Linked DNA regions of Stegostoma tigrinum. The protein of the gene in region 2 interacts with the protein of the main gene of each other region in a pairwise test. Links are inferred from orthologs where the notes say so. Each region holds a gene or a part of one and is shown on either strand. Other genes may lie near its edges. The genes, in order: atxn1l and inactive ubiquitin carboxyl-terminal hydrolase 54-like.

Evidence for each region.
Region 1: the proteins of inactive ubiquitin carboxyl-terminal hydrolase 54-like (region 2) and atxn1l interact in binary tests that used the Homo sapiens proteins (3 or more experiments, as listed by UniProt). The link is inferred for Stegostoma tigrinum from reciprocal best matches to the Homo sapiens genes USP54 and ATXN1L.

What each region holds. Positions count from the first base shown.
Region 1 is NC_081369.1:40,876,236-40,892,625, forward strand, and holds the start of atxn1l (ataxin-1-like), read right to left. Parts: upstream 6,113-16,390; 5' UTR 5,958-6,112; intron 1-5,957. Other genes in the region: RNA-binding protein NOB1, read left to right, coding at 8,195-8,263, 11,280-11,412, 13,666-13,799, 15,611-15,682. UniProt on the Homo sapiens protein: Chromatin-binding factor that repress Notch signaling in the absence of Notch intracellular domain by acting as a CBF1 corepressor. Binds to the HEY promoter and might assist, along with NCOR2, RBPJ-mediated repression.
Region 2 is NC_081390.1:26,507,257-26,523,905, reverse strand, and holds the start of inactive ubiquitin carboxyl-terminal hydrolase 54-like, read left to right. Parts: upstream 1-10,429; 5' UTR 10,430-10,564; intron 10,565-10,841; exon of another isoform or gene 10,842-10,858; intron 10,859-16,649.

The DNA.
Region 1 (16,390 bases), on a different chromosome or scaffold from region 2:
AAGATTATGCACTTTGGCAGGCTGAGAAATGGAGCTAAATATTAATTAAGTAGAGAAAGCTACAGAACAGAGGGATTTGGGACTCCTCATGCTTGAATCAGAAAAAGCTTACATCAAAAGTTTGGTGGGTAATTAGGAAGACAAATAGAACATTGACCTTTATTTCAAAGGGAATGGAGTATAAAAGTAGAAAAGATAAATCTATATAATGCACTAATCAGACCATAGCGTGAATACTGTAAATACCTTTTGGTCCCTTATCGGAGGACAGATTACTGGCATCAGAAGCAGTCTAGAGGAAGTTCGCTAGGCTGATACCAGGTATGGGGGGGGACCTGTTTTATGAGTGGAGTTGAATACATTTGGCCTTAACTAATTGGAACTTAAAAGAATGACAGATGACCTTTTTGAAACATATAATATTCTTAGGGGAATTGGCAGGGCCAATGTAGAGAAGTTGTTTCCTCTTGTGTGAGAATCTAGGGCCAGAGGGCATAATTTCAGTGTAAGTGGTTGCACATTTGAGAGATGAGGAACAATTTCTTCTCTTAGTTGGTAATGAATCTGTGAAATTCTTTACTTCAGAGGACTGGTTTATTAAGTATATTCAAGGCCAAGATAGGCAGATTTCTAATCAGAAAGAGAATCGAGGGTTATAGGGAAAAGCCACAGTCTCACTGAATGTCAGAGCAGTTATTTCTACTCATGTCTTATGGTCTTATTAGGAAAAGAAAGAATAAGGTTGGATACATATCATTTATGATAAAGATATTTTGCCAACAATTCCAATCCATCTTTCTTTTTCTGTGGAAATGTGCTAATTTTTATTTATATCCCAACATTTGAGTGATCGGAAACCGTTCAAATGACGATCCGAGTAGTCCTACTTCAGTATTACACAAACTTACAGAAGCTGCCATTAACTCTCCAACCATGCAATTCCATAGAAGGTCTAGTTTAATTCAGATCAACAGTAACGTCGTCTAGCAGGCAATTCTAGTGGCTAACTTGCTTCCCACATCACAGCCTGTTGGAAGTGTGATCCTGAATACTTCATGAATGTACTGTCTTTGTTTTGGACATTTTCAAGGTCTACCATTGGGTCTATCATAAGGGATTTCTTTAAAGGTTAGTATCACGGTAGATGTGTATCACATTTAATTTGTCCTGAATCTCTACATATACTATGGTCTAATCTGTGTCTGCAAATTGAGGGTCCCCAAGACTATATTCTCTCTCTTATCCTATCCCTTTAAATAATGACTCCTCAATCCATATACAGTTATATCTAGTATAATTCCACTTTACCTTCATTAACTGCTTTAAGCTTTTATGCTCTCATTAATCAATGTAATTAATGATTTTTTAAAATTCCTTATCACTTCTATGCACTACATGCAACAATTAGACGCAAATTCTGGGCAGCACAGTGGCACAGTAGTTAGCACTGCTGCCTCACAGTGCCAGGGACCAAGGTTTGTTTCCAGCCTTGGGTGACTATGCATGGATGCTGTGATTGGTTCACTTGCCGAGCTGGTTCATTAGTTTGCAGATGTTTCATTATCGTGCTGGGTAACATCTTCAGTGCAGCCTCCGATGACCTGCTGTTGTACTTTTCCGCCTGGTATTTAAACTCGAGGCTTTTGGAGTTGATTACCTCATTTCTGGTTTTTCTTCACAGTGGTGTATATATAGGGTCTAATTCTACATGTTTATTGATGGCCTCCTTGGTTTGGATGGAGTTTGCGCATTGTCTCCATGTGTGCACAGGTTTCCACAGGTGGATGCTACGGTTTCCTCCCACAGTCCAAAGATGTGCAGGTTAGGTGGACTGGTCATGCTAAGTTGTCCCACTGTGTCCAGGGATGTGTTGGCTTGGCCATGGTACATGCAGGATTATGGGACGGGGAGTTGACTCTGAGTGGGACACTCTTCAGAGGGTTGGTGCAGACTTGATAGCCTCTATCCACACTGTAGGGATTATATGATTTTTCAGTATCTCAAAGGCAGTTCCACCAAGTCTCCAAAAAGTCTAGTTTCTTAGCTTTATGAGCTATGCATTTTTCCCCTAAGCACAAAAACATCAATCCCTGATCCTTGCAACTGAAAGCAAGCTAATGCTCTTCAATGTTTACGCTGTCTGACTGTAAGGCTCTCCCATTGCAAACAAATTTAAATTAACATTCCACGAATTTGCTCTCTCATACTAATTTTTGTTTTGAAAGAGAGCATGGCTCGAGAAATAGTGACAAGTTAGTCATAAATTATTAAACTGCTTCACAAACTCAGACCCCAAATTTTTTCTCATTTTTTCCTTCAGTCAGTAATGTCATTAAATTAATGGCACAAAAAGGACCAGAATGATTGAAGAGGAAAGAGATCATTTCAAACTAAGAGCTCACTAAATTTCAGATGACAGTTCTTTACAATGTGAAGTACTACTACTTCAAAATCTAAATAAAACAAATGACAATAAAACATATACAAATCACTCAGCTTACATGACACTGGATACATTCAGAGTTTCTGTGGAAATTGGAAGAACTGACAGAAGAGTCCTTTGGTGAGTGGATGTGTTGCAGAGGACCGAACAGCAACTGAGCCCCATTTCAACAGGGCTAGACATAAACTTGGTTAATTACAGACAAGTTAACCTAATGAAGACAGGAAAAGAAGGCAACAAGAAGAGTACAATACTGGCTCATGAGGGAACTGTTGCCTTGATGGAAAATAAAATGCAGAAAAGCTTGAAATATTGGACCTGCTTTCATCAGAATAGAGAAACTGTAGAGGTTTGATGGAGATATTTAAATAAAATCAAACAGAGAAGGGTTGACAGTCCTTCAAGAAAGCTATCAGTCACCCTGAACTGATCTGCAATAGTTCCAGTCCGATACAACATGACTGATACTTAATCTTCTCAACAACCATGGACAGTCGAGAAATTGCAGCCTTGCTGCCAACATCCACATCCCAAGAACCAATATAAAATGAAATAGATAAAACTACACTGCAAATCTGAGTTAGTAGAAACTGCAGATGCTGGAGTCAGAGATAACACAGTGTGGAACTGGAGGAACACCGCAGGCCAGGCAGCATCAGCGGAGCAGGAAAGTTGACGTTCCGGGTCGGGACCCTTCTTCAGAAATTTCTGAAGATTCTGGCCTGCTGCGTTCCTCCAGCTCCACACTGGGAATCTGGAATGAGAAATCATAAATACAGGATTAAATGCAGAGATGTAGAAAAGGGCCACAGATATTTTTCTTTTGTATTCTAAGTTTATGCAATGTACCAGAGTTTGCATTTAAAGTAGAAACTGTGTTGACTTAAAGGATTAGGTTTGGTCTACTTTTGGATGTAAGTGAGGATAATAAAAGGCTATGGGAATGGAACAATCAAATGGGATTAGGAGCACTCATGTGAAAGATTGGCACATGGCTAAAATGTCTTTGTCAGCATCATATTTTCTACCTAATGGAACAAAAGGAGTTTGTCTTTAAAGAGCACATAAAGGCAGTAAAACACACTGAGATACACAGCAATACTATTAAACAAAATTGGATAATCAGTCACATAAAGAAATTTAAGAATGGATGAAGAGTACGTTTTCAAGAGTATCTTAGAGTATTCAATAGATGGAGAGAGAAGGAAAAGTTTTTTTTTCCCCTTACATGGAATGTAGGCATTGCTGGCATTTGTTACCCATTCCTAATTGTGTGGCTTGCTACGTCATTTCAAAGGACACTTAGAAGTCAACCACATTACGGTGGGTCAGGAACTACATCCAGGCCAGACCAGGTAAGGACCCAGAATTCCTACCATTCGTGGGAGGTCGCTCATGAACCAGATTTAGTTCCATGGCAATCAGCAATGGTTACATGGTTACCATGAACATAAGAAATATGTTCAGAAGTAGGCCATTTGGCATGTGAAACCTGCTCTGCAACTCAATTGGCTCATGGTTGATTCAACATTTCTTACATGCACTTTCCTGTCCTTAACCCAGAACCATTGATTGTCCTACTGATCAAGAAGCAATATGCCAGAATCTAGGGCCTGGGCAACTGAAAGCAAAGGCCACCAGTGGTGAAGCGGTTAAAATCAGGGATGTGCAGGAGATCTTAAGAAGGTTGTTAGAAGTTATAAGGATGGAAAAGAAAGATATGCATCTGTACGGCACCTTTAGTGGGATGTTTCAAAGCATTTGACAGACAATTAAGTACTTTTTTTAAAAATGTAATCATGTTTGTAACGTAGGAAACATGACAATCAGTATGCACTGAAACTGCCACAAACACCAATTTGATAATCACCAAATAACCTGCTTTCCATTAATTTGACAGTGATAACTATTAACCACGACAACAGAGAAAACTCTCCTGCATGTCTTTGAAATAGGTTCATGGGATCTTTCACATTCACCAAAGCAGCAAATGGGGGATTCGGTTTAACATCTCATCTGAAAGTAAGCATCTCCAACAGTGCAATGCTCCTTCAGTATTGCACTGGATTGTCAGCATAGATTTTCACGTTCAAGCACTGGAATGGCACTGGAGCCCAGAACACTGTGATTCAGAGGTGAGTGCACTGCTAGATAAGCCACAGCTGACAAATAAGAATGGAGAGTGAGTGTTATAATGATAATTAAAACAAGGATTAGAGTTGTAAAATTAAATGTTTCTGGATCAGGATGTGTGAACATGAGACACTGTTAGGAAATACGCCCAGATTTTTGGTGAGGGTAGAACATGGGATGTTAGATGGGTGATAATTGGAATAAATAACTGTAAAGGTAACAAAGCAAAGAATGAACATCCGAACAATAGATTAACTGGTGCAGGGGTAGAGATAGGTGATGTTAAAAAGGTGAAAGTATGTAGTCTTGTTGATGAAACATATATGTAGTCAGAAACTTATCTTGGGGTTTAAAATATAACAGTAAGGTTGTTAATAAGATACTTGCTATCGAGAGAGATGGAGTTGGTAGAAGATTCCAACGGTAACGGATGTTGGAAAAGCACTGTGTCAAATTAAACAGAGTGAAGGGATCAGGAAGGGCAGTGCTGAATATTGTTAATATTTATATGATATCTAAAGTATGTTTTCAGATGAAGCCATCAAGTTGTAGCACGTAGATGAGAAATTGGAGGATAACCAAGGGTATATCCCTGACAGACTGCAGAGATAATGGATGGGAATGATAGGAAGTTATTGCTCTGGAATTTTATTGTTCCCTAAGAGATTGAAATGTGCTGCATTACACATGATGAAATCAAGAAAAATGCTGTAGCTTCCTAATCTGAGTTATTCTTTCCAACTACTCCACTTTAAGACTATAAGGCACCTGGTTCACTCCTGTTCTGCAAATGTCATGTTTTTAAAGACATAGTTATGGTGCACAGAACTCGACTCACTTCAGCTGTCCACTGGTACAAGTGACCAAATATGTTAGGCTAAGCTGTAAGCGTCAGTTAGCTTTTCATCAAATTCAAGTCCTGAGAAGTTATCAATATGCATGCATTGTCAAAAAGGCAGATTAAATTTTCTCTCCATGTTCTGAGGCCAACGATGGTGCCCTCCTAGAAACAGTTCAGTTTAGCACAAACCAGAAAACAAGCATGGTACCCGCCTGGCTTTTATAACACAAAACTACCCCGTCCAGCGTCCCCAGAAACAAAGTAATCAGGAGATCATTGCGGGTGACGTCCATGAAATGATGATGATATTGTCAGTACCATTCAGAGAAAAATCACAACACTCAAACCAATTTATTTATGCAGTGTACTAAAAGAATGACCATCCACTATCGTCTCACCTTAACTAAAAAAGCAGCATTTCTCAAATTTAAAAGTAAAACCACTGTCAGGCCCAGCAGGAAACTAGATTCTTCCTACAGGTTGCTAAACTTCAGCAAAATAGGCTGAGAGATCCCATTCTTTAGTTGATCTTTCTTTTACCTGCAAACTTCATCCTGATTCCAGCAGTTTCCGCGAATTCGTGGGCTTTTCCCTTTCCGGCAAGTCTTACATTTCCTCTCACCTGAAGATTAGAAACTCAACAGCAAAAAAAACTTTACAGCGACAGACACCACAGCGCAGGCTGATGGCGTCACTCAAAGCGTCCGATCCGAGGCCAGTGGCCGCGGTCTTCCACTGACAGCGCCCCCTCTAGACGGGAGGGCTGCTCGGGAACGACAGACTGTTACCGAGCCTTTAACTGGTGGAGGGGAACTCACCCCATCGCAAATAAAAACAGAAAGTGTTGGAGAAACTCAGCAGGCCTGGCAGCCTGGAGAGGTAGACGAACAGAGTTAACAGTCCGAAATTACTCTTTTTCAGAACTTCGGGTTAACCTGTTTCCTTCGGCTTGCTGCAGTGTTCCGGTGAATCACAGCGCAAACTGGAGGAACAACATCCCATCTACAGATTAAGTACTTTATAGTGTCCGGATTTAATCTTGAGTTCAACACCTTCAAATTGTGAATCAATTCCCATTTCAACCCGTTCTTTTGGCTTTACTTGTTACACTCTCCCATTCCTTCACTTTATTTTCGCTTTACATGTAACATTCTCTAATATCCTGTCCTCCCTGTCTCCCCTCCGCCCACCCCAGTGGGACTGCCTGCTCTTTCAAGTCTGGCAGTTAGACACACCGTTGTTCTGCCATTCTCCCATTCGAATTACTCAATCTGAACTATCTACATCCTTTCTGCACCAGCACTCTACATCACCACCAACTATATCGTAAATGTTTTGCTCCCTTCACGCCGCTTCAGTTCTGATGAAGTCATCCAAACGTTAGCTGGCTCTTTCTCTCTACATGAATGCTGTCTGACACGCTGTGATCTCCAGCAGTTTTTTTTAGTACAGATTCCAGTATCTGCAGTCATTTGCTCCCTCCCCACAGATGCTACCTGACCCGCTGAGTTTCTCCAGCAGTTTGTTTTGTAATTCAAATTTCCAGCATCCACTTTTTTTTCATTTAAGAATTATTTGTAGAATTAGACCAGTGCCGCAAAAGGTGCTCAGTAAATAGTGAAGCAAAGATTTCGTTTGCTTCACTATTAGTCCAATGATCTGTCAGAACTGAAAAAAGTAAGAAATGTAGCAAATTGTGGGCAACCAAAGAGATGGCCAAAAAGCCAGATGCCACCTAGAATTTTTTGTTTGCTTCACTTAAAACATTTCAAATAAACCATTTCCCCTGCAATGCATTGTTCACTCCTCAGTCCAACATCCTCTACCCTTCCTGTAGCATTTTTGGGCAGCAGTTGCGATACCTGTCCTTTTAAATTCTTAATACACCAACTGTTCTCCAGCAGAAGTACTGATATACTTGTTTTTATTTCATTCTAATATTCGCATTACCACTCCCTTAACTGGCCTCGCACCGTGAAACGTTTTGCCATTAAATTTTCCACTTTCCACTTACACAGAATTCTGCCTTTGTACTTTTCTCCACCGCCTCGTTTCACTTTTTTACTACTACATCTCAATTTTTACCCAATTTCAATGAAAGACGAGCAACCTGTAATTTCAATTCTCTCTCCAGACATGCTGTCAGATTTAAGTTTTTCCTTTTCTGTGTTTTATTTCACGAATCACAAATTCGTTTTCCTAGAGATGAAAGATGACTAGGTATTGGAATATTTGGTCTGGGTTCAATGCCGATTTAAATAAATAAATGTGCTGTCAAAATACTTTCAGAAGAAGCATTGAAGATTTTGGTATATTTATAATTCCGATCAATTAAACAAAGAAATATTTTGCATTTTCAATTAAATTTCCTTGGCACCAAAACTATTTATAAATCATTTTGGAAACTGTTCATGTTCTTTTGTCAAGTGAAAAGGAAACGTAGATTAGCAAAGTTTCCTTCGACATGAGGTACTAGGAACTGCAGATGCTGGAGAATCTGAGATAAGAAGATGTAGAGCTGGATGAACATCTAAGCCCGAAACGTCAATCTTCCTGTTTCTCGGCCTATTGTTTTCATGCAGCTCTACACCTTGTTATCCTTTCCTTCAACGTGGTCAGCTTTGCCGATTTAAAATAAATACATGCGCCAACAACAATAAACCAATGTTACGCTGCTGTGTTGCCCAGGCTTGTTGCTTTGACCAATGAACAGGTAGTTTACTGATGAGTATAGTTTGAGTAATGCTGTAGTTGATTGGGCAGTGTTAGAAGGGAAGATGGCGGTGTGTACGGTGGAGCATGTTGTGGCGGATGCTGGGGCTTTCTTAAAGAACGCGCCACTCCAGGTCGGTGATCCGTGTCTATGGGCTTTTGTGGACAGGGTAGCACAAATCTGCGGTTTTGTTTTGTATTTGTTCTCGGGCCTTGGGTGTGGGACTAGTACTGACTGAACTCAGTCTTTTCCCATCTTTTGCAACCTCCCCACATAGTTACAATGTAAACGTTCCGAAACATTCACTGTAGCAATTCTGGTCTAAACACGTGTCCGTTAATATTATGAAAACGTGGGCAAGCGAGTATAAAGGCCAAAAAAAGGATTTGAGAAACAAAAACTTTCTTTCTGACAGCCCTCGAAACAGGTGACGATTTCCCAACGACTGGAGTTGTATATGAGCGTAACTTGGTCCTTTTACTTGTACACTTTGCTGAGTTTCATAAATGATCAGCCTGGTGTCAGATATAGGCGACAATCCATTATGGATCTCAAATTACTGATTAATTTATTATCATTGTCTCTACCTATCTCTCTCTCTCTCTCTCTCCCCCTCCCTCCCTCTCCCCCTTCCCCCACTCTCCCCCCCCCCCCACAAAAACAAACACACACACACAAAATTTTGTGGTGATTTTGCATTTGCAGATACAGTCTATTTTGTTGAAAAAGCACACAATTTGTAATCAGTCAATGTGGCATTTACAAATTCCTACTTTGGAAATAAAACAGTCTGACTCCAAGTTGATGCACAGCCAGATTCTAAGCAAAGCCTCACACCTAAAATGCATTGTTTGACCTGAGATGTCACCTTTATATACTGATAAAACCTTTAGCTATCTCAGGGCAGTGACTTGAAAGAAATTCTGGAATTTGCATATTAATCCTTTCTAATTGATAAATCTTCAATCTGAGGTTTGTTCAATACGTTTGTGTCAGTCCTATGACCTTTTGATCTTTTGCTTATAAATTCTGTGTTTGATGCCAGCTCTTACTGACACCTGAAGAAGGAGCAAGACTCCGAAAGCTTATATCTTCAGGTAAACTTGTTGGACTATAACCTGGTATCTTGTGATTTTTGACCTTGTCCACCCTAGTCCAATGCTGGCAACTCCACATAATAACTGATTAGTCATTGCTGAAAATTGCCACGAAGTATTCTGGTATCAGGTGAAAGAGGTTGTCAAAAAAGATATTTACTTTATATCTTCTACTGCCAGATATTATTTTGTAGTTCCAGATGAAGTTATTGACAGTTTATTTTTATTCTAGCTTGACTTCACATCACCTCATTTTGTTTGAAATACAAATTTCCATTTAAGTTTTAGATTTTATCTTCACATTGTGCTGACTTCACCTGATGTACAGTTCATTTTTGCCAGGCTAATTTCACCTCATGAATGGTAGCTTTTCATCTGGGTGGCCCTGACACCAAGTTTTGGCAAATGATTCAGCTGAGGATCAGAATTGATCCCAGTTCGTCCACACACCCTTGCTCATTGGCTAATGTGGCTGCAGCCTTTGGTCACATTCAGGCTGGATGTCTGGATCTATGCAGATAAGTGAAACAGAGCATTCAACTTTTGCCACGATAATAAATCTATTGATTCTATGATTCACATCATCAAACATGAAACAGCAGAAAGAAAACTAACTTGTATTTTGTAAGTTAGACCTCTGTCAAATTAAGTTTTGAGGTTAAGATGAGACACATGACAACCTTAATGTTGTCACCCAGGCTGTAAGATGAAACTTTTCTTTACCCCTTTGCTTGTAAACACTGAGGCAGTTTGTATCATCTTCACTCATGCACTGAAAATTAGTACATCCTAGATTCTGTCTCTAGGCATTGTAAAATATATTTAGTCATCAGGTTATTGAACAGTCAGGTGTTTACAAAGTAGAATTGTCCCTCAAGGTAGACATTGTTGAATCAACCTGTTTAAAGATGCTATTATCATACCTCTGTAGGAGGTTGGACTTGAATCCAGACCTCCTGGCACAGTGAATGTTGCTACACACTATGGATTGCAGTGGTTCAAGAAAGCAGCTCACTGCCAGCATATCCAGGCGATAAGCAATAAATGCTAGCCTAGCCAGTGACACCCATATCCCATGAGTGAATTTTAAAAAAAGACTTTTAAAAAATATGAAGTAATAGCTCAATTTCAAGTGAGAAAATAGCAATGCATTAATTCTGCATAATTTCCAAATGTATTTGAATATTGTGATTTATTGAAGTTATCTAATGTGAAACGGGACATAAATTGGGAGTAAATGTGTGAATGCAAGTACTGTTTGTTCATTTGCATGTGTTAAGACTGTACTTGTAATTTATTCATTCTCTACCTGTAAGAAAGGACAATGGAAAAAGACATTCTAACAAAAAAACGCAGTAAATACTAAACAAGTCTGGGAGGGTCTATGTAGAAAAGAACAGAGTTAATATTTCAAGTTGAATACTTTCATCAGAACTTGAATTTAAAAGGCACATGTCAAGAGAGTCAATAAATGTCAGATTTGATAAACCATAAAATTCAGTAAAACAAAACTAAGATAGAAGAAAGAGACGAATGGATGGTGAGGTGCCAAGAAGCAAATATGTTCTTAAAAAATGCTAAGTAGAAATATCTTGGCAAGAAATTGTAACTGCTTCAATTGTAAAGCATTTAACCATGTTCCATGTCTAACTTTGAAATAATCCATGTAGGCAAATGTGGACTTTAATTTGTTTCGAGCAAGGAAGCACAAATAGCAAAAGTGGTGAAACTGTGTTGAATAATAGTTGAAGGAGAAGAGATGGACATTGAGAAAACCCTTCTTTTTGCAGAGTTCCATGCGATCCCCAATGTCAGTCTGTATTCAGCTGTCCGTCTTAATGTTGCCTGCACTCATCCGCAACAAAGGGTATTTTAAGATGCATTCTAGGCTTTCTGCTTTTGATGGAACCATTTGGCAAAATAAATGAGATATTTAATGTTTCCTTTCAACATGAGCTAGGTGTTAACCAAATGAGCAATGTTTGATTTGTAAAACAAAATCAACAACATTGCTATTCTTTGCATTATACCTGTTAATCTTATTGACTTTAGGAATTTGGAAAAACCATCTACACGTTAAAGGAAGTTGTGAATGAAATACGAGACAAAGAAACTAAGCGAAGACTAGCAGTTTTACCATATCAACTCCATTTTAAAGAACCATTCCCTGAATATATTCGACATGGTGAGTTTTTTTGATCACTCCTCACCCCACCCACCAAAGTTGGGGGATATATTGTGTTAAAATAAATGATAAAACCTTCATTTCTTCTATAAAACTCATGTTAAGGCCTTTGCTTGTTTGATTTTATTTTAACAGAATTGATTTTGATAGTGAAGGAAGGAAAACTCTTGCATTATGTAATGCAAGTTGTTCTCATTTAATTGAAAGAAATTGCTGGAATACCTCAGCAGGACCTGCAGCATCTGTGGAGGGAAAGTAGAGTTAATGTTTTGTGTCCAGTCACCCTTCTTCTGTGGCCATTCTGAAAAGAAAATTGTTCCCTTGAGAAGTTGTTGGGGTACTTGTCTCTACTACTTATCATTAGGTACTAACCCCATACTGTTGTAGAGACATTGTGAGACCTTACAAAACCCAACAAATGACTCTAACCTCTTCTCACTGAATCATTACTGGAACTTGGATTATTAATTGGTAATGGAACCAAAACCAAACTAAATACTGTGTTGCAGACCAAACATCTAATACGTGCCTCAGTTAACTACAGATCTTAGTCTGCTCCCTTTGTCATTGAGACTGAACGCACATTGAAGGGCTTCAGGGATTTGTTGGTGCAGATGGTGCTAGAATTTGGAGATTTTTTCACCTAGATGGAAACTGATCAATCTTAAAAAACAGAGAACAAAATAACCAGTAAACACATTGTTAAATAGGAGCTGAAGTAGGCCAATTGACCTCTCGAGTCTGCTATGCCATTCACTGGAGCTCACATAGTGCACGAAGCTGGCTAGGAACAATCTCCATATTCCTTGACAACTTTAATTTAAGGAAATCTATCAATTTCTGTGTTGGACAGGCTCAGTGACTGAGCCTCGACAGCTCCTTGGGTCATATAATTCCAAAGGGAATCTTCTAATTCTTCCTCATCTTTGTCCTAGATAGCTTATCCCTTATTCTGAGACCCATCCCTGTAGGCAGGGGAAGCATCCTTATGTTTACCCAGACCCATTTGGGACATCTAAAAATTTTGTACATTTCAGCGAATTCACTTCAATTTGTCCTAGACCCTAGACAATATAGACCCAAGGACGGCTTGGTGGCTCAGTGGTTAGCACTGCCGCCTCACAGCGCCAGGGACCCGGGTTCGATTCCAGCCTCGGGTAACTGTCTGTGCAGAGTTTGCACGTTCTCCCCGTGTCTTCTTGGGCTTCCTCTGGGTGCTCCAGTTTCCTACCACAGTCCAAAGATGTGCAGGCTAGGTGGATCGGCCATGCTAAATTGCCCGTAGTGTTCAGGATTGTGTGGGTTATAGGGGGATGGGTCTGGGTGGAATGCTCCAAGGGTCGAAGGGCCTGTTTCCACACTTCAGGGAATCTAACCTAATCTACAGAAACTTCCTCAATCTCTCCCCATAGGGTAATCCCACTAACCTAGAATCAGTCTGATAAACAATAGCCTGGAAAATCTGTTGCTAGGAGGGTGGCTTCACGTAACGCTATAGGCCGGTATCCCAGTGGGTGGAGTGGAGAAGTACTTATGAAGGCAAAGGCCCCACAGACTATCCACTGGGCAAGCCTGCTCACCATTGCCAGACAGCACTAAACAATCCATCAGAATTAACAGGCAGAATGCTGCTACCTTTGAAATTCCAATGAGGTAATAGCTGACTCCAAGCTGTAAAGTATCAGCCTTAATCAGGACTCCACATTCGGCTTGTTCATTTTATTTATGTTCAACCCCATTGTTGCAAAATTGATCTCTCAGTTACATGTTGTAACAGTAGTATAGACTTTGCTTTTGAAACTGAACTCACACATCTTTCACTAATGCCATGTTGTACATGTGGGAAACAGTCTGGTTACATGGAAATCAGAATTTTGACCTGATCTCTTACATGGACTCAGCCCAAGGGTTGCATGTCAGCGACTTACATTTTAGACTCATTTTGCAGATCATCTGGGGGCTGCTCACAGACACACTTCAAGAACCTCTAGTTTAATGGAACTTAAAAATCCCAGATTTCTGTTTGGTGAAAGACCGGGAGTTCTCCCAGGGTTGTGAGCATCGAAGTCAGCAAAAGAGACAAATCAGTCTCGTTGCTGTTTGTGGAACCTTGCTGTGTAGAGATCAAATGGTACACTTGCTGACATACACTTAAAAACTAATCTATGGGCAGTCCTAAATTTTTGAAAGGTGTTGTACAAATACAAGTTCATTCATAAGATTCAAATATTATTTTTAAACATTTCTTCACAGTAACTGAGTTTTGTAAAAAGACAGGAGACTACCCTAGTCTCTCAGCAACTGATATTAAGGTTCTGGCACTAACCTATCAGCTCGAAGCTGAATTTGTGGGAATTGGCCACTTAAAGAACGAACCTGCACAAAATGTAAGTAATTTATCACATGAAAATTATTTGCTGATTCGCTGTCTATATTTCTTTCTATACAGTAAAAAATCTTGGACAGTGACAGCAGAAACTTTGCTATATTACAGAAAATGTAGAGCTGTGTACTGTAGTACATTTAAATGACTTCTGCAATAAAGATGCATAAAATACCTTCATATTTGGAATTTGGATTTTTAAAGTAGAGGCAAATGGCTTATGGCTTCAGTTCTGTGAAGACTCTCTTCCTTAAAAAAAATCAAAGTTGTTTAGAAAGATGACCAAATACATCAATTCCAAGAAAACATGTGATTCAAGTAGGTGCCTAACAGATTACTTCTGCTGTTAAGTTACATAGTATTTTTACTGCTAAATTCACCATATACAGTGAATACAGATCCATGGCCACGAATTATAGATTTTGACTTTAGTTTAGAAGAAGAATCAGAGATTCACTTTAAGTTTCTTCGCTGAACAATCAAGTTTTCAATTCAGGAGAACAGTCATCCTAGCAGAAGTGTTTTAGTTTTGGGGTGCCTCTAAACTGTGAGAGTTTCTACAGAAGTTTTCAAATTGTCAGAACTGGCAACACAACTCTTAAGTTGTAAGGTTATCTCAGCAGTCCAAGAAGAACTAGACAGAGTCTGTTAAGTAAGAATATAGAGTTTGGTAAAGCGTGATATTTCTCCAGGATTTGAGCATCCACAAAACACATATATTCCTGGGGAAACAGGTTGAAATTTCTTTTGTTTATGTTAAAGATCTTTCTCAACTGTCATATATAGCTTTGTCTTTTGTTTTTCTGTATGTGATAATCTTGCGTTCTTTGCATTCCTGTAGCCTTGTGTGAATAAACTTAACTAGCCACCAAAGCAGCTGACTATAGAGAATTAACTTATGATCTGTCAAGCCAAGTTTCACTTTGGGATCTGACTTATTCAGTATTACCATTAACTGAGATTATAAATATAAAACTGTTTCATTATGTACTGTTGATACTTGTTTTGAGAAGCAAGTACTGGTAGCACAAATAGATTTGGCAGAATGCTAAGCTTTGTTGCCCATATTTGAATGTAGCAAATGATTTGTAGATTCTAAAAATGATATCCTATATGAACACAATGAGCAGAAAAAGACCAGTTCATTTAATAAATTTTGCTCAATATTTCAAGTGGAAATCTAATATACAGGCATGCACAATCAATTTAAACACGTAAAATTCTCCTTCAGCCATTGCTGGAGTGTTAATCTAGAGACCTAGGTAATATTCTGGGGATTCTGATTCAAATCCTGCCAAAGTGGAGGGTACCATTTGAAGTCAGTAGAAATCTGGAAGACAAATAATGGCTGTTGTTAATTGTCAGAAATCCCACCTGGTTCTTAAAAGCCTTTACCAAAGGAAATCTGCTATCCGCACCAGATCTAGTCTGCATGTGACTCCAAACCCACAGTAATTGGCTTGACTGTTAACTGCCCCCTGGGAAATTAGGGAAGGGCATTAAAAGCTGTCCTGGCCAGTGATACCCACATTCTGTTAACACATTTTTAAAAATTAACATTAAGCCCAAAATTGAAGGTGTGAAACAGAAATATGGATTTAAGTTTCTTGTATACTTTGTATCAAATGATCACAGGTGAGAAAGGTACTGTGTTGATATCACAATGTCATTGGTGATATTCTCATTGGTTAAAAATTTGTGTCTTGTGTCCAATGTTTTACTTGTGCAACAGAAACGTTAGGTAGATGTACTTGCCAGTAAAATATACATAATCAGTATTTGAAAATCCAACTTGTTTTTGCTTTATTTGGTTAGGTTGAAGTGAGTACCACTTTAAGACACCCAGAGTCAATGATTGACGTAGCAGGTTTTCATCTGCCATCTAAGGTAATAAAAAGCATAGATTAGAATCATGTAAAGAATTTGAATTGCATTTCTAAGAATTAACATTGATAGTTATGTATGTACTGTATTCCTAATCTCCATCGAACACTGCAGAAGGAAGGGATAATCATTTGGAAGCACAGAAGCTGAATATGGCTGGACAAAGAGATTTTATCGGAGTTTATTATCTTACAATCATCAGGACAATATAAAAGAATAGCAAAGAGGAAATGACATTCGTACCATCTGAGCAGAATGTGCTGATTGTTTGGCAAGTGGATTCTTGTCACTTGGTTGACTAGTAGTTAGGGAGTGTTACTGAAGAGAGTGCACCAGTTCGATTTTGATTGACAGTTAACTACCAAGTCACTTTTAAATTTTAGCAGTCAAGATATTGCTTTAGACGGGGGAAATGAGAAACGAACCAGTGAATGGCTGTCCCCTATTTATTGAGTTGATACAGGTGCGGTGTGTGTGTGTATGTGTTATTTCTGTTCGAAAGAACTAAAAAGAAATCTTAGCAATTGAAGTTAATTTGTCAACCAATTAGCACATTCCACCTAACAGCATATATGTTGTTTATACAGTTTTTGAGTGAGGTACTCATTGGTATTGAATGTGTGTAACTGAGCTATTAATGAAAATGATGGTCACTTTGGTATTATTGTTCACTTGAGTTGTTCTGTGGCAATGTATACTTTCCTATGAAAC
Region 2 (16,649 bases):
TTTCAGAATCCCCTTCCCCTCCCCCATTTCTGAAGAAGGGTCTCGACCCGAAACATCAGGTTTCCTGCTCCTCTGATGCTGCTTGGCCTGCTGTGTTCACCCAGCTCCTCACCTTGTCAACTCAGAGGCCTAAATCATCTTTGTGATTGTTGTAGAAGGTAATAGTTTAGAAAGGGTTAACATTGAAGCTATGTTGAGCATCACTTGTTCTAATGATGCAATACACTAAAACCTCCTTCAAGATAAGAACCTTTCCTTGTTACAATTCACTACTGACTTTCCACTAGCACTCTAAATCACTAGGCCCTGAGACCCAGTCAAGGAAGGAGGATGGTGACAGCAAGACAATCCAATCTGAAGTTGAAATTCATCTGAAGCACAATATAACATAAGATTGTAAGAAGGTTATTCAGGTTGTGATAACAGCAGGAGGTCTTTAATTTAAAACTACACTTCAGGCAGAAAGAGTTTATTAAGGCTAAAGGCACTAGGCTTGATTTGGGAAAGTTGTCGGGCGAAAGTGCAAGCATTGTTTATTAGGTCTTGAAAGGTAGGAAATTGTCCATTTTGCCACAGAAAAGTGATCACAACATTTTGCTTGCAGGAGGTGGGAAACCGTCATTTTGACTGCAAATTCACAGGGAAACACCACTTAGTAGTACTTAGGTACAACATCACTATTTTATGGTGCGTAAAGCTTTAAGAGAAGGGCATAAACTGGCAGTGATATTGAAATTGTAAGAATCTGCTCGGGAAAGATGTTAAAACAGCAGTAAGATACCACCGAACTTAAAAGCTTTGGAAATACAGAAAGTAAGCATAAAAAGACCAGTTAGCCTTTAAGCCCATACCGCTTTTCAACATTATCCTGACTGTTTATTTCAACAGCATGTTCCATACCCGTTGATATCCTTACCCTTGAGAAATCTATTTATTTCTTAAATGTATTTAGTGCTGGGGAGCAGATGCGTTTTTGTTTTGCCGCGTGATTTGAAACCTTTCAAACTGTTATATATTTAGACAGAACAAAACAAGCCAAATTGTTTTTTCTATCTTTAGTTTAACAATAAGAAGTTTATTACCCAAATGTGTAGCCTTGTGGGTTTATGTTTCAGTGAAAGACTGCCAGATTTAATTCAGGGAGATAATGGGAACTGCAGATGCTGGAGAATTCCAAGATAATAAAATGTGAGGCTGGATGAACACAGCAGGCCAAGCAGCATCTCAGGAGCACAAAAGCTGACGTTTCGGGCCTGGACCCTTCATCAGACCCTCTCTGATGAAGGGTCCAGGCCCGAAACGTCAGCTTTTGTGCTCCTGAGATGCTGCTTGGCCTGCTGTGTTCATCCAGCCTCACATTTTATTATCTTTAATTCTGGGATCTGTCTTGTGCACTCATAACATCACCTTGAATTGTAATCTGTAAAATAATAGGTCACTTTCAGATGTGAGGAAGTGGTCATCGTCATAGACCAGCAAATGTTAAACAGCTACTTATACAAAGATGTTAATGTGATTGGAAAAAGATAACCAATGCGTTACTTGGGGAAACTGGCAATCCGATTTACTAGAGTTTGACAGGTTCTCGACATCAATGGACATCTCATTCGTTTTAAACTTGATAGTGGGTGATACGGAGTGTCACTGTCTTAATCAGATCAAATACTACAGCTGTAGAAACATAAATAACAGCATTCACAAGTATTGTGCTGAAAGATGGCCAGATGAAAAGTCCAGTGGGTCAGCCAAGAATCCATACTTTGTGTACTAATAGCATTTCACAATCAGGAGATGACTTAATAGTGTATGACAGAAGACTAGTATTTCAGGTTCCCTTCAGTAAGATAACCTGGAAAGCTTACATCAAGGACACTTAGGGATTGGAAGATCTCAGGCCTCAGTCAGGGGTGTGATGGTCAGAGATCTCATTGCAAAATCTTTGTTGACACAGGATTATCAGGCCTGGAAATCAGTTCAGTTATTACTGAAGAAAATTCAAATGAAAGAAACCAGAAAAGTTTGCAACTAAGTGCAGAGAAGGAGAAAAAGAGCAAGCAGTATAACCTACTTAAGTCCACTGATCAACTTTTAAATGAAATTGTTCATTGACCAATGTGGCCTAGTGAACAAATTGCAATAGTAGCAGATGCAAATTTGACAGCCAATGCTGAAATAACACAAGTTCAAGAGGAATCTTTCAATTATTCCTTTTGTCTTTCAAGGGAAGAACCAAAAACAGAGTTAAGTCAGCAACAATCCTCAAGTCAAATAATTGACATGCAGGGTTTGCCAGTAAGATAACCATAGTGGGTGACTGAAGACGCTTAACTTAATCCATAATTTAAAATAAAGAAGTTATATACTTCAACATAGATGTATCAGCAATTGAAAATTAAGATTTGTTTAAGAAATTGAAGTGGATGGGGTGGCAAATTGTATTTGCTCCTAGGCTTTGCCTGACTTCAAAGAGATTAAGTAGAAGGGTAAGCTTTTTCAAGCACAAGCTGGAATCTCCAAGGATCTGCCTTCTTCCATTTTGTCCCAGAAAGTCCAAGGTCAACTGCCCTGTTTTGGAATAGCAACCACAAAATGGCATATTTTACATCTGTCTGGGCTGGCAGAATTGACATGAGTTTTTAGTTCAAGTCCAAATCTTGTGACGAGGTGAGAGTGCTACTGACTGAGCTATGGCTGACACCAGACAGCAGGCTTGATAGAGCTCCTTAAAATCTCACAGGGTTAAATATATTAAATAGAGAAGCTGTTTTTCAGTTGCTGTTGGGTTACTAATTAGTAGTCACATTATCAATGTGATTGATAAAAGAATCAGTGGCAACTTTGAAGGTGCATAGTTCCTTGAAAGTGGAGTTGCAAGTAGTCAGGGTGGTGAAGGCGGCATTTGGCATGCTTGCCTTCACTGGGTAAAACACTGAGTAAAGGAGTTGGGACGTTATGTTGCAGTTGCATAGGACATTGGTGAGGCACTTTTGGAATACTGCGTGCAATTCTGGTCACCCTTCTTTTAGAAGAATGTTGTAAAACTTGACAGGGTACAGAGAAGATTTACAAGCATGTTGCCAGGACTGGAGGGTTTGAGTTCAGAAGGAGGTTGAATAGACTGGGCCTTTTTTCTTCCCCCTTGAGTGTTGGAGGCTGAGGGTGACCTTATAGAGGTTTATAAAATCACGAGGGGCATGGACAGAGTGAATAGCCAGGTCTATTGTCTTTGGTGGAGGAGTCCATAACTGGAGGGCATAGTTTTAAGGTGAGAGGACACCCAAAAGGTGACTTTTTCACACAGAGGATGGTGTGCACCTCAAACAAATTGTCAGAATAAGTGGAGGCAGGTACAATTACATCATTTAAAAGGTATCTGGATGGATATAAGATTTGAAAGAGTTTGAGAGGTATATGGACCAAATGCTGGCAAATGTGACCAGGTCAGATTGCAATATCTGGTAGGCACTGACAAGTTGGACCGAAGGGTCTGCTTGCATGCAGTATGAAGATATGACTCTATAGGTGTCTCTGTTCAAGTTGAGCAAAAATATGGGAACCATAGGAAAAGCTCTGAAGAAGTCGTATCAGACTTGAAATGTTAACTCTGTTACTCTCTCTACAAATGCTTCCAGGCCTGCTGAGATTCTCCAGCATTTTGATTTTATTTCTGATTTCCAACGTTTACTATTTTGCTTTTATTATAAATGGGAAATACTCTATATCATGTTTTGAATTCTGACTTTGGCATTGGAAATAGCAGCTGCAGGGGCCATCTAACCTTTTTTGCCTGACCATTTTTTTAAGTTCCTAGAACTTCTTATGCTGTCTCACAGCTACAGCTGCTGATACTTTGCACCCGGCTGTGAAACTGACATATGAATGTGGCAGGCCAATCTTTAGGTTTTTTTTGGAAGGTCTAACAAGAATTCACTCTCAACTCCCCCATCGCATATCTCATTAAATATCTCTTACCCTGGTATGTTTATTGTCTCACTCAGACTCTTCATCAGTCGCAGTCTATATGTGCCAGCCAGAGCATATCGCTGGCCATAAGTCGAGTATCGCATTTTAAAAAATATGACCGTGACTGCATTTCAAATATACATCATTGATCGTAAAATATTTTGTAATGTTCTATGGTTGTGAAAGGCACTATAAATAAAGTCTTTTGTTTTACTTCCGCAGACCAAATTTACAATGCATCAATCCATTATCGTTATCAAACTAACAACAGAGCAGTTATCTATATGGTCAGGGTTCATTCAGTTATTCATCTTGAAAACTGGAGTATCAGACCTTGGAATTTTTGACCGGTAGCTACACAAAATGATTCATTTATTTATTGAATCATTAAGGCAACTTGAATTCTGTTTAAGCAGTAACTTGTCATCTGCCAAAATCACACCATGTCAGTTTACTCCTCAGATATGTTGATTGTGTGAATGCAGACAACTGTCTATAACTCCAACTGATGAAAAGCTGCCATAATTCAAAATTAGATTAATTGGCCTAAACATTAATGTAAAAGAGCAATTGCAACGTAATGAGGATCTGTTTTGTGCTGAAAAATAAAGATTTGGTGACAGAGAATGGAAGAGAATTGGGGCCAGTTTTGTATTTTTTAAAGCAGAACTTTTAATTTACTCAATAATAAAGGCAAATATAGATTTAAGGATGCAGGAAATAAATAGCAACCAATGAATAAACGCTTATTACCTTAGCACAAAAATGTGTAGTTAAAACTGTGACTTCAATATGGTGAATTGTCTCATAGGAACACAATGAGACCTAATAACTGGTAATTTGATCAATGAAGTAATTCACTGTGTATTCTGCTCCTCACCCTCAGTAGATATTTGATGAGAATTATTTACAGAGTTTAAGAAGTGAAAAACCCAACTTCTTTTTAATTCATTCATGGGATGTGGGTGTCGCTGTCTGGACCAACATTTATTGCCCATTGCTAATTGGCCAGAGGGCAGTTAAGAGTCAATCACTTTGGAGTCACGTCAGCCAGATCAGAAAGGTGGGCTGGTTTCCCTTCCAAAAGGACATTAGTGAACCAGATAGAACGAAAATTGTATTTATATTGCACTTTTCAAGGTGTCAGAATGCTTCAAATTTCTCTGGAGCCAATAAGGTACTCCTGAAGCATGGTCGTTGTCGTAACGAAGGAAACACAGCAGCCAACCTGTAAGCAGCAAACTCTCACAAACAGCAATGATATGATCATATAAAATTATTTTTGTGATTTTGACTGAGGGAGAAATATTGGTCAGGATTCAAAGGATAACTCCCCTACTCATCTTTAAATTGTGTCATGGATTGGTATATCAACCTGGGAGATACATTAATGTGTTATTAGAAAGACAGAACCTTTAACATTACAGCACTCCCTCAGGTGAGATTTCTGTGGCAAGATACCTCTTGCCTCTGTAAACAAAGCCTGTCCAATATCTACAGGGCACAAGTCAGGAATGTGATGGTATCGTCTCCACTTGCCTGGATGAATGCAACTCCAATAAATCTCAAGAAGCTTGACATCATAGAGGACAAAGCAACTTGTTTGATTGGCACCCCGAACACTACCATAAATATTCAATCCTTCCATCTCCGATGCACAGTGACATTAGTGAGCGTGATATCTAAGAGAAACACTGAAGCCACCCTGGAGCTGCCCTCAGCACTAGCTTGTAAACCTAAACTCATACCATTCAGATAGTATGATGAAGATGCCATAGTCCTGGAGAACCATCGAGCTGCTCCTTCATGGATAGAGTCAACTGGTGGTGAGTTTAATCTGAGGATCACCATGCCTCAGGCGTGGCGTGTGGTTGAGAAGGTGGTATTTTCATGGTAACCTCATCCAGTACAGAAAACGAGCCCATGGTATTAGGGGCAGTCTACATCACAAATGAGCTCTCCAGCCAAATGTATTAACCAACCTCACTAAACGCAAGGCACATGGATATATGGAAAAACCACCATCTACAAGTTTGCTCTAAGCTACACAACCTTGACTTGGAACTATATAACATTACTTCAAAGTCATTGGGTAAAATTCTTGGAACTTCCTCTGTAACAGCATTGTGGATATACCCTCAAAGACTGCAGCAGTTCAACAAGGTCACTCACCATCACCTTCTCACAGGGCAGTTAAGAAAGAATAATAAATGTTGGCCTTGATAGTGATACCAGATCCCTTTAACGAATAATATAAATAAGTTATTACTTAAAATGTCAGTCTAGATTTAAGTGTACCAGTTTTAGGAGTTGGATTTCAACATACCACTTTCCGACTCAGGGTCAAGCTGATTTTTTTCTAAAACAGTCTGAATGTTGTTCATGTTAACAGAACTCCATTCTTCTGTCCAGTCTGTTGCTGCAGTTACAGAGCTTCCAGTACAAACCTCCTGCTGTGCTCAAATTTAAAAAAAAATTGAACGCAATCTAAAACAACCTAACTCTACCCACCCACCCATCCACCCTCACTGTATCCAAGCCATCCCAACCAATACACCGCCACCCAACCCAACATACTTCATTCCAAGTGGAAGGATCACCAGACCTGAAACATTTAATCTGATTTGTCTCCACAGGTGCTGACAGACCTGCCAAGCTTTTTCCAGCAACTTCTGTTTTTGTTTCAGATTTACAGCATCTGCAGTTATTTTGGTTTTTGTACTTCATCCCAACTAATCCACACTCTGCCTGCCCAACTGAATACAACCCACTTAACCGAATCAAATCCACACTAGTTGGCATGGTAGCTCAGTGGTTCGCACTACTGCCTCATAGTGCCTGGGACGAGGGTTCAATTCCACCCTCGGGTGACCCTCTATGTGGAGTCTGCACATTCTCCTTGTGTCTGCCTGGGTTTTCGCCAGTGTTTCGGTTTCCTTCCACAGTCCAAAGATGTGCAGTTTAGGTGGATTAACTGCTAAATAGCCTGTAGTGTCCAGGAGTGTGTGGATTAGACATGGGAATTGCAGGGTTACAGGTAAAGGGTCGGGGGTTGGGTTTGGGTAGGAAGCTGTTTGGAGGGGCAGTGTGGACTTGTTGGGCCAAATGGGCTGTTCCCACACTGCACACTTCTATGAAGTTCACACTCCCACTGGACCTGACACCCCTATCCAGCCCAACACAGTTCTTGCCTTGACATGTGTCACTTCGCTCTACATTTCTACTTGGTATCAATCTACTGAATGCACACAGCCCAACACATCAGACAAAATACCTCAAGCCAGCCCTACCAAACACAACTCAACCTAATGAATTGAATCAACCCAAGCTGACACCAGCTGATACCCTGCCCCACCCCACATAACATCATTAGATCCCTTGCTCCATCCTATCCAACTTACACCACTCTACAGATCATATTCCATGCACAGTCAACTAAACCAATACTTCCTCAACCAACCAAATATACCTCATTGTTTACAATCCTCTTCTGCAGACTGGACTCAACTGAGATAGGAGGAACTGCAGATGCTGGAGAATCTGAGATAACAAGGTGTATAGCTGGATGAACACAGCAGGCCAAGCAGCATCAGAGGAGCAGGAAGGCTGACGTTTCAGGTTGAGACCCTTCTCCAGAAATGTGGGAGGGGAAGGGGATTCTGAAATAAATAGGGAGAGAGGGGGAGATGGATTGAAGATGGATAAAGGAGAAGATAGATGGATTAAGGAGAAGATAGGTGGAGAGGAGACAAACAGGTCAAAGAGACAGGGATGGAGGCAGTAAAGGTTAGTGGAGGTGTGGAGTTGGGGGCGGAGGCAGTTAGCTCAGTCTAGGGGGGGATGGACAGTTCAAGGGGGCAGGATGAGGCTGGTAAGTAGGAGATGGGGGTGGGGAGCTGGTTCATCCACTTCACCAACACCTTCCACCCCAACCTTAAGTTGACCTGGACCATCTCTGATTCCTCTCTCTCCTTCCTAGACCTCTCTGTTTCCATCCTTGGCAACCACCTGGAAACCAATACGCATTTCAAGCCTACTGACTCCCACAGCTACCTAGGATACATCTCCGCCCACCCACCTTCCTGCATAAATGCCATCCCCTATTTCTAATTCCTTAGCCTCCGCTGCATCTGCTCCTGGGATGAAGTATTCCACTCCCGGACATCCCAGATGTCCTCATTTTTCCAGGACCACAACTTCCCCCCACAGTGGTCGAAGACGCACTTGACTGCATCTCCCGCAACTCATCCCTCACACTCTCGCCCCACAAAAACAACCAAAACAGGATCCCCCTCATCCTAAGGTACCACCCCACCAACCTCTCAATCCAGGGCATTATCCTCCGGCACTTCCACCATCTGCAGTCTGATACCACTACCAAAGACATTTTTCCCTCCCCACCCTTATCCTCTTTCTGGACTGACCACTCTCTCCGTGACTCCCTTGTCCGCTCCACACTCCCCACCAGTCCCACCACCCCTGGTACTTTTCCCTGCAACTGCAGGAAGTGCTACACCTCACCCCAATCCCAGGCCCCAAGGCAAACAGATGTTCACCTGCACATCGGCTAATATGGCATACCGTATCCGCTGTTCCTGAAATGGCCTCTTCGACATTGGGGAAAACAAGCGGAAGCTTGGGGACTGCTTTGTGGAACACCTACTCTTGTTTCGCAACAAACAACAGCACCTCCCAGTCACGAACCATTTCTACTCCCCCTCCCACTCCTCAGACGACATCCTGGGCTTCCTGCAGTGCCATAACAATGCCACCCGGAAGTTACAGGAATAGCACCTCATATTTCGCTTGGGAATCCTGCAGCCCAAGGGTATCAATGTGGATTTCACAAGCTTCAAAATCTCCCCTCCCTCGACCACATCCCCAAACCAGCCCAGCTCACCCCCACAACCCTAACCTGTTACCCCCGACCTCAAGACCCACCTGAATCTCCTACTGACTAGCCTCATCCTGCCTCCTTGACCTGTCCATCCTCCCTGGACTGACCTATCTCCTCCCTACCTCCCCAACTACACTCACCTTTACTGGCTCCATCCCCGCCTCTTTGACTTGTCTGTCTCCTCTCACCCTATCTTATCCTTTATCCATGTTCTCTCTATCTCCCCCTCTCTCATTTATTTCAGAATCCCCTTCCCTTCCCCCATTTCTGAAGAAGGGTCTAGGTCCAAAACGTCAGCCTTCCTGGTCATCTGATGCTGCTTGGCATGCTGTATTCGTCCAGCTCTACACCTTGTTATCTTGACTCAACTGAATTGTGCACCACATACGTCCAACACGTAGCTCTCACTCCACATCATTCAAACCAATTTACATTTTCCTACTGAACCTAAAATCATACCACTCAGCAAAACCTAAACCCATTAAACTGATCCTCCCATGCCAATCTACACAATGCTCCTGAACACACCCCCATCCAAGGTAAATCTAGAACCAAGGTACTCACCTCTCGCGAGAATTAGCGGTTTCCTACGACTTCCAGATCATCTCGCGTTATTTGATGATGGTGTGAGATGGTGACTCACCTCCAGAGGGACAGAGACGGAGACTGGGATTGAGGGAGTGAGACTGAGGCAGACAGAACGTCCGGCATTGAGATTCCCGCAGGCAGGCAGACAAGGATTGAGGGAGGGACACTCTCCGGCAGGGAGTGAGTGAAGGAAGGACTTTCTCCGGGAGGGAGGGAGTGAAGGAGGGACCCTCTTTCCGTGAGGGAGGGAGTGAGTGAGTGAAGGAGGGACTCTCTCCGGCAGGGAGGGAGTGAAGGAGGGACTCTGTCTCCGGGAGGGAGTGAGTGAGTGAGTGAGTGAAGGAGGGACTCTGTCTCCGGGAGGGAGTGAGTGAGTGAGTGAGTGAAGGAGGGACTCTGTCTCCGGGAGGGAGTGAGTGAGTGAGTGAGTGAAGGAGGGACTCTGTCTCCGGGAGGGAGTGAGTGAGTGAGTGAGTGAAGGAGGGACTCTGTCTCCGGGAGGGAGTGAGTGAGTGAGTGAGTGAAGGAGGGACTCTGTCTCCGGGAGGGAGTGAGTGAGTGAGTGAGTGAAGGAGGGACTCTGTCTCCGGGAGGGAGTGAGTGAGTGAAGGAGGGACTCTGTCTCCGGGAGGGAGTGAGTGAGTGAGTGAAGGAGGGACTCTGTCTCCGGGAGGGAGTGAGTGAGTGAGTGAAGGAGGGACTCTGTCTCCGGGAGGGAGTGAGTGAGTGAGTGAAGGAGGGACTCTGTCTCCGGGAGGGAGTGAGTGAGTGAAGGAGGGACTCTCTCTCCGGGAGGGAGTGAGTGAGTGAAGGAGGGACTCTCTCTCCGGCAGGTAGGGAGGGAGGGAAGGAGGGACTCTCTCTCCGGCAGGTAGGGAGGGAGGGAAGGAGGGACTCTCTCTCCGGCAGGTAGGGAGGGAGTGAAGGAGGGACCCTCTTTCCGGGAGGGAGGGAGTGAGGGAGGGAGTGAAGGAGGGACCCTCTTTCCGGGAGGGAGTGAGGGAGACTCTCCGGGAGTGAGTGGGGGGGCGGGCGGCTGAGAAGGACCGTGCAGAGGGCGAAAGCGCGGGCAGAGACAGTGAGTGAGTGACCTATCGGCGGATGAACTGCCACGAGGTAGGACATTTCACTTCAGATTGAAATTTTCTTTCCGGATCGCCCTCTAGCAGTACCCCGCCGCCGGGGTGGGGGTGGGGGTGGGGGCGGGAGCGCAAGCCGAATGACCGTTAACGACCGTCGCGTGGAGCTCTGACCCTTGGCCGTGGGATTGACCCCTGACCTCGGCTGACTGGCTTTTAGAGCATTACAAAAGTTGGCAGTCTTTCATTCCCTTCGTAGAATTTGTCTGTCTTTTTGCCTTACGTGATGTTGTTGCAGGGTTTCCACAAAGATGTTCAGCGGCAACATATGGTAAATGAAAATAAGAGTGTATATTCTATGTTGTATCGATGATGTTAGCTCTCCTGCAAATCCAGTCACCGCATGCCTTTCACTCACCCGTCACTTGTGAAGCAATAGATTACAACAATGCCCTTCTTAGTTACTGGTCTGACTCCAGTGGGATCATATTTGACGCGGCAATGATATATTGTTGGTCTGCAGCAATTTGGGTCTGTTCTTGATGGTCAGGGAGATGTCAACAACTTGGTTGGAATGTGAATTACTGTCTAATGTATTTCCTCACTGAACCTGCATTTGAGGAAGCAGTTGGCTTTTTCCGCTTTGTGAGTTTGGTTTGAAGCAACCAGACAGGACCCGTAAAACTCCCTGATGTGGCAACTTTAAATCCCATTCCAGTTTTGGTCATCAGTCTGAAGTGCTGTGGAAGAATGAAACATTGGTTTTATTCCTCTGTTCACATCTTTCCTTCTCTTGAATTTAGTATTTTGAAGTGACCATTCTCTTTGCGAACCTAGTCCACTTCTAAGTCATCCTCAACACGCCCATTCCAAGCATTTTTTTTGTACCTATAGGAAATTCAACACCTATGTTTTTTTTTCTTCCTACCATCCAGAACTCCCATACCATTTGGGAGGTACAGTCATTAACTTATTCTCTTTTTAATTTAGAATATTCCTTTTAACTGTTCAGAATGCAGTCTCTATTAAGTGATGAAATCAAAGCCAGACTGATTACTTTGTGGATGTCTCTGTGTAGTGTGATCCAGCACTTGTGCCTGCCCATCGTATAAATTTGGGGGAAATAGAAAATAATTTTTCGCTCAGGCACTTGATAGTTTTCCAGACTCAATATTGAATTTAGCAACTCAGATGATAACCACTGCCTGTGTTCTTTTTGGGGTAACAATTTGGTTGTATTTCTGCCAAAGCTATTTTAAATTTATCTGTACACATTCTTTACTTGGTCCATTACTCTCTTCTTTTGCTTTGTCCCGCCATCCATTTTATTATTTAATCTTAGATAATAAAATGTGAGGCTGGATGAACACAGCAGGCCAAGCAGCATCTCAGGAGCACAAAAGCTGACGTTTCGGGCCTAGACCCTTCATCAGAGAGGGGGATGGGGGGAGGGAACTGGAATAAATAGGGAGAGAGGGGGAGGCGGACCGAAGATGGAGAGCAAAGAAGATAGGTGGAGAGGGTGTAGGTGGGGAGGTAGGGAGGGGATAGGTCAGTCCAGGGAAGACGGACAGGTCAAGGAGGTGGGATGAGGTTAGTAGGTAGCTGGGGGTGCGGCTGGGGGTGGGAGGAAGGGATGGGTGAGAGGAAGAACCGGTTAGGGAGGCAGAGACAGGTTGGACTGGTTTTGGGATGCAGTGGGTGGGGGGGAAGAGCTGGGCTGGTTGTGTGGTGCAGTGGGGGGAGGGGATGAACTGGGCTGGTTTAGGGATGCAGTGGGGGAAGGGGAGATTTTGAAACTGGTGAAGTCCACATTGATACCATATGGCTGCAGGGTTCCCAGGCGGAATATGAGTTGCTGTTCCTGCCTGTCTCTGCCTCCCTAACCGGTTCTTCCTCTCACCCATCCCTTCCTCCCACCCCCAGCCGCACCCCCAGCTACCTACTAACCTCATCCCACCTCCTTGACCTGTCCGTCTTCCCTGGACTGACCTATCCCCTCCCTACCTCCCCACCTACACCCTCTCCACCTATCTTCTTTGCTCTCCATCTTCGGTCCGCCTCCCCCTCTCTCCCTATTTATTCCAGTTCCCTCCCCCCATCCCCCTCTCTGATGAAGGGTCTAGGCCCGAAACGTCAGCTTTTGTGCTCCTGAGATGCTGCTTGGCCTGCTGTGTTCATCCAGCCTCACATTTTATTATCTTGGAATCTCCAGCATCTGCAGTTCCCATTATCTCTGATATTATTTAATCTTACCTGCAATCCAACCTTGCATTTATTTCTCTGTCTTCCCTGTGCCTGTTTCTGTACTTGGTTAATATCTCATTACATCTCCAGTTCTAGAAGAAGGTTGAGAGGTGACTTAATTGAGACATATAAAATAATCAGAGGGTTAGATAGGGTGGATAGGGAGAGCCTTTTTCCTAGGATGGTGACGGCGAGCACGAGGGGGCATAGCTTTAAATTGAGGGGTGAAAGATATAAGACAGATGTCAGAGGTAGTTTCTTTGCTCAGAGAGTAGTAAGGGAATGGAACGCTTTGCCTGCAACGGTAGTAGATTCGCCGACTTTAGGTACATTTAAGTCGTCATTGGATAAGCATATGGACGTACATGGAATAGTGTAGGTTAGATGGGCTTGAGATCGGTATGACAGGTCGGCACAACATCGAGGGCCGAAGGGCCTGTACTGTGCTGTAATGTTCCATGTCTATGTTCTATGAAGTTACTGTCCTGAAATGAGAGCTGGGCAGCTTTCTCTGCAGATGCCTGGCTTTTCAGCATTTTATTCTTTATTTCAGATTTTCAGCTTCTGTAGTATTTGCCTTTCTTGTTCATAAATATGTAAATCTCCATTTTAAAAAATAGCTTTAAAATTTTTATAGAAGTTTTGTTTCATGTCATCCACTAGTGACTACTCCTTGTTTTGGACTAATAATCATCAGAAACTCCAGAATGTAACAGGATTTGGGAGTACTAGGTGTGGAGTCTAAAAATGCTGAGATTTTAATGGTGTTTTTGTTGAAACAAGTCAAAATATGATTACCTTGAAGACCAGTTGATCTATTGCATTACATGGATGGAAGACAAAATGTAGTCTTGGGGTGAAGTTGATTTAGAGGCCAGGGAACAGTTGGGATTAGAGTTAGGCATCTGTAATTCAGTTTATGCTTTGGGCCTGTGTTTTGTCCTTATTCTTATAATGCTTTCATTTTATATTAAATATTGGCATGATGTAGGAAGCACAGAATTGTTTGGATCATAGCAGTTGCTTGCAAGGCAGGCCAAAGAGCCTGAAGCTGTGGTGGAGGCGAAGAAGTGAAAAGCTGAGATATTGTAGCAATTTTGACAAAACTTTGAGAGGCGTGTATTTTTGAGAATTATATAGAAATGTGGATTATGTAACTTCTTGGGAGTCAAGCGACTTCAGAGCTGAGCTACTGCATAATGACTATTTTGTACTATGATCCTGACTTTTAAATCTGGTCAGTGCTAATGTTCATGTTTTGAATTCATTGATAACTTGCGTACCACGTGCTTTTGTTTTGAAAGTGTACCACGTATTTGCTCCAAATATAAAATCAATAATACCAGGGTACCATCTGATGCTTCAAGGAATGACTGTGGAAACACGCTAAGGAATTCAAATCATACTTTGGAGAGACTTAGAAATCCTTGTTGAAATTATTTGCTGTGATTCTGCTTTAATTTTTCATCAGAATAATCTTATAATGGATGTTACATACTTTGGATTGCTTACAAATTTGCATGATGTAAAAGATTTTAAATGGCAGCTTATTACAACGGTGATATTGTATCTTTTGGATATTGCTGCAGAGTATTACACCTTCATATAGCTTTTTACAAGTTTTATTTCAAAGATATTCTGTGGTTAATACTTGATACTTTGCATCTTAAGCTAACATTCCAACAAAACCCAAGCAAGTTTCTATATTTGTGAAATGTCTCAGAATCAGCAAGGAAATTTAGCACCAGTTAACTCATTTTTCTTTGTGTCTAAGGTTAGACAGGATGATGGAGAACTGTGTTGCTCATGCTGGTGGTGTCATGAATTCTGTTAACTTCATTCTGACAATCTTAATGCATGACCCAGAGAAGAATATTGCCCTTGTCATGCTTGTCAATGCTGAAAGAGATTTTGAGAAATGATTGTTGAATTTTTGCTCTAAATTTATAAAATTCACTCTGAAATTGCAGGCCCCCAATATTGATATAACTGCAATTAATAATAGCTGTAAGTTGCTCAGGTTGATACTGTAACAAATCAATATATTTTTAATTCTCAATTTATCCAAATGGTTTTAGGAATTATGTTCCTTATGTCATTGGGCTTTAGTGGATTGCATCTTGAGGCCAAGTCAGCAGATGTAATCTAGTTTTGCTGCAGAACCTGAAAGTACAAGTGTGAGGAAGGAATAAATGTGATAAAGTCACATAACGATACTAAAATGAAGATTCTTTTCACTTGTGCGTACTGAAAGGCTTGTTTGGAGACAAAGATAAAGAAAAGCTTTTTGACTTTTACAATAATATTATGGTTAACTAATTTGCTTTACGTAACAACGAAAAATTCAGGTAGTTAACACGTTTTTCTTTAATACTTTATAATCTAGCGAGTTTTGAGAAGATTTGTAGCTCAGGTTGAGGTTCTGGATGTGAGTTTGCTTGCTGAGCTGGAAGGTTAGTTTTCAGACGTTTCGTCACCATTCTAGGTAACATCATCAGTGAGCCTCCGACGAAGCGCTGGTGTAATGTCCCGCTTTCTATTTATCTGGTTAGGTTTCCTTGGGTTGGTGATGTCATTTCCTGTTCTTTTTCTCAGGGGATGGTAGATTGATTTGGAGTCAATGTGTTTGTTGATGGAATTCCGGTTGGAATGCCATGCTTCTAGGAATTCTCGTGCATGTCTCTGTTTGGCTTGTCCTAGGATGGATGTGTTGTCCCAATCAAAGTGGTGTCCTTCCTTATCTGTATGTAAGGATACGAGTGATAGTGGGTCATGTCGTTCTGTGGCTAGTTGATGTTCATGTATCCTGGTGGCTAGCTTCCTGCCAGTTTGTCCAATGCAGTGTTTGTCACAGTTCTTGCAAGGTATTTTGTAGATGACGTTCATTTTATTTGTTGTCTGTATAGGGTCTTTTAAGTTCATTAGCTGCTGCTGCTCTCCTACATCAAAGACATTTCCGAAATGACTGCCAGACTACTCAGACCCCTTGGCATCAGGGTAGCCCACAAACCCACCAACACACTAAAACAGCAGCTAATGAACTTAAAAGACCCTATACAGACAACAAATAAAACGAACGTCATCTACAAAATACCTTGCAAGAACTGTGACAAACACTGCATTGGACAAACTGGCAGGAAGCTAGCCACCAGGATACATGAACATCAACTAGCCACAGAACGACATGACCCACTATTACTCGTATCCTTACATACAGATAAGGAAGGACACCACTTTGATTGGGACAACACATCCATCCTAGGACAAGCCAAACACAGACATGCACGAGAATTCCTAGAAGCATGGCATTCCAACCGGAATTCCATCAACAAACACATTGACTTGGAGCCAATCTACCATCCCCTGAGAAAAAGAACAGGAAATGACATCACCAACCCAAGGAAACCTAACCAGATAAATAGAAAGCAGGACATAACACCAGCGCTTCGTCGGAGGCTCACTGATGTTACCTCGAATGGTGACGAAACGTCTGAAAACTAACCTTCCAGCTCAGCGAGCAAACTCACATCCAGAACTTTATCATCTTGAACTATTTCACACTGTTTATGAATTTTGAAGGGTGGGCTTTGCATATAGTAGTAGGATTAACACTGGTGGCAGGAAATGCAGTTGTTCGTGTCACAAAAATGAGAGGTGTCTCACGTGTTCTTCCTGTGCTGAATTGGTAAATGTGAACTTGAAGAGTAATGAGTTTTTTGTTGCTACTGTTTATTGTTTAAACTTTATAAATATAAACTACAGCAATTTATATTTGTAACGCGCCAACTAAGCTAATTGCAGTGAATTGCTGTTCGGTTTACAGTGCCAATAATTATTTGATTTGTTTTTTTAAGACGTATGTGCGACACTTCTTC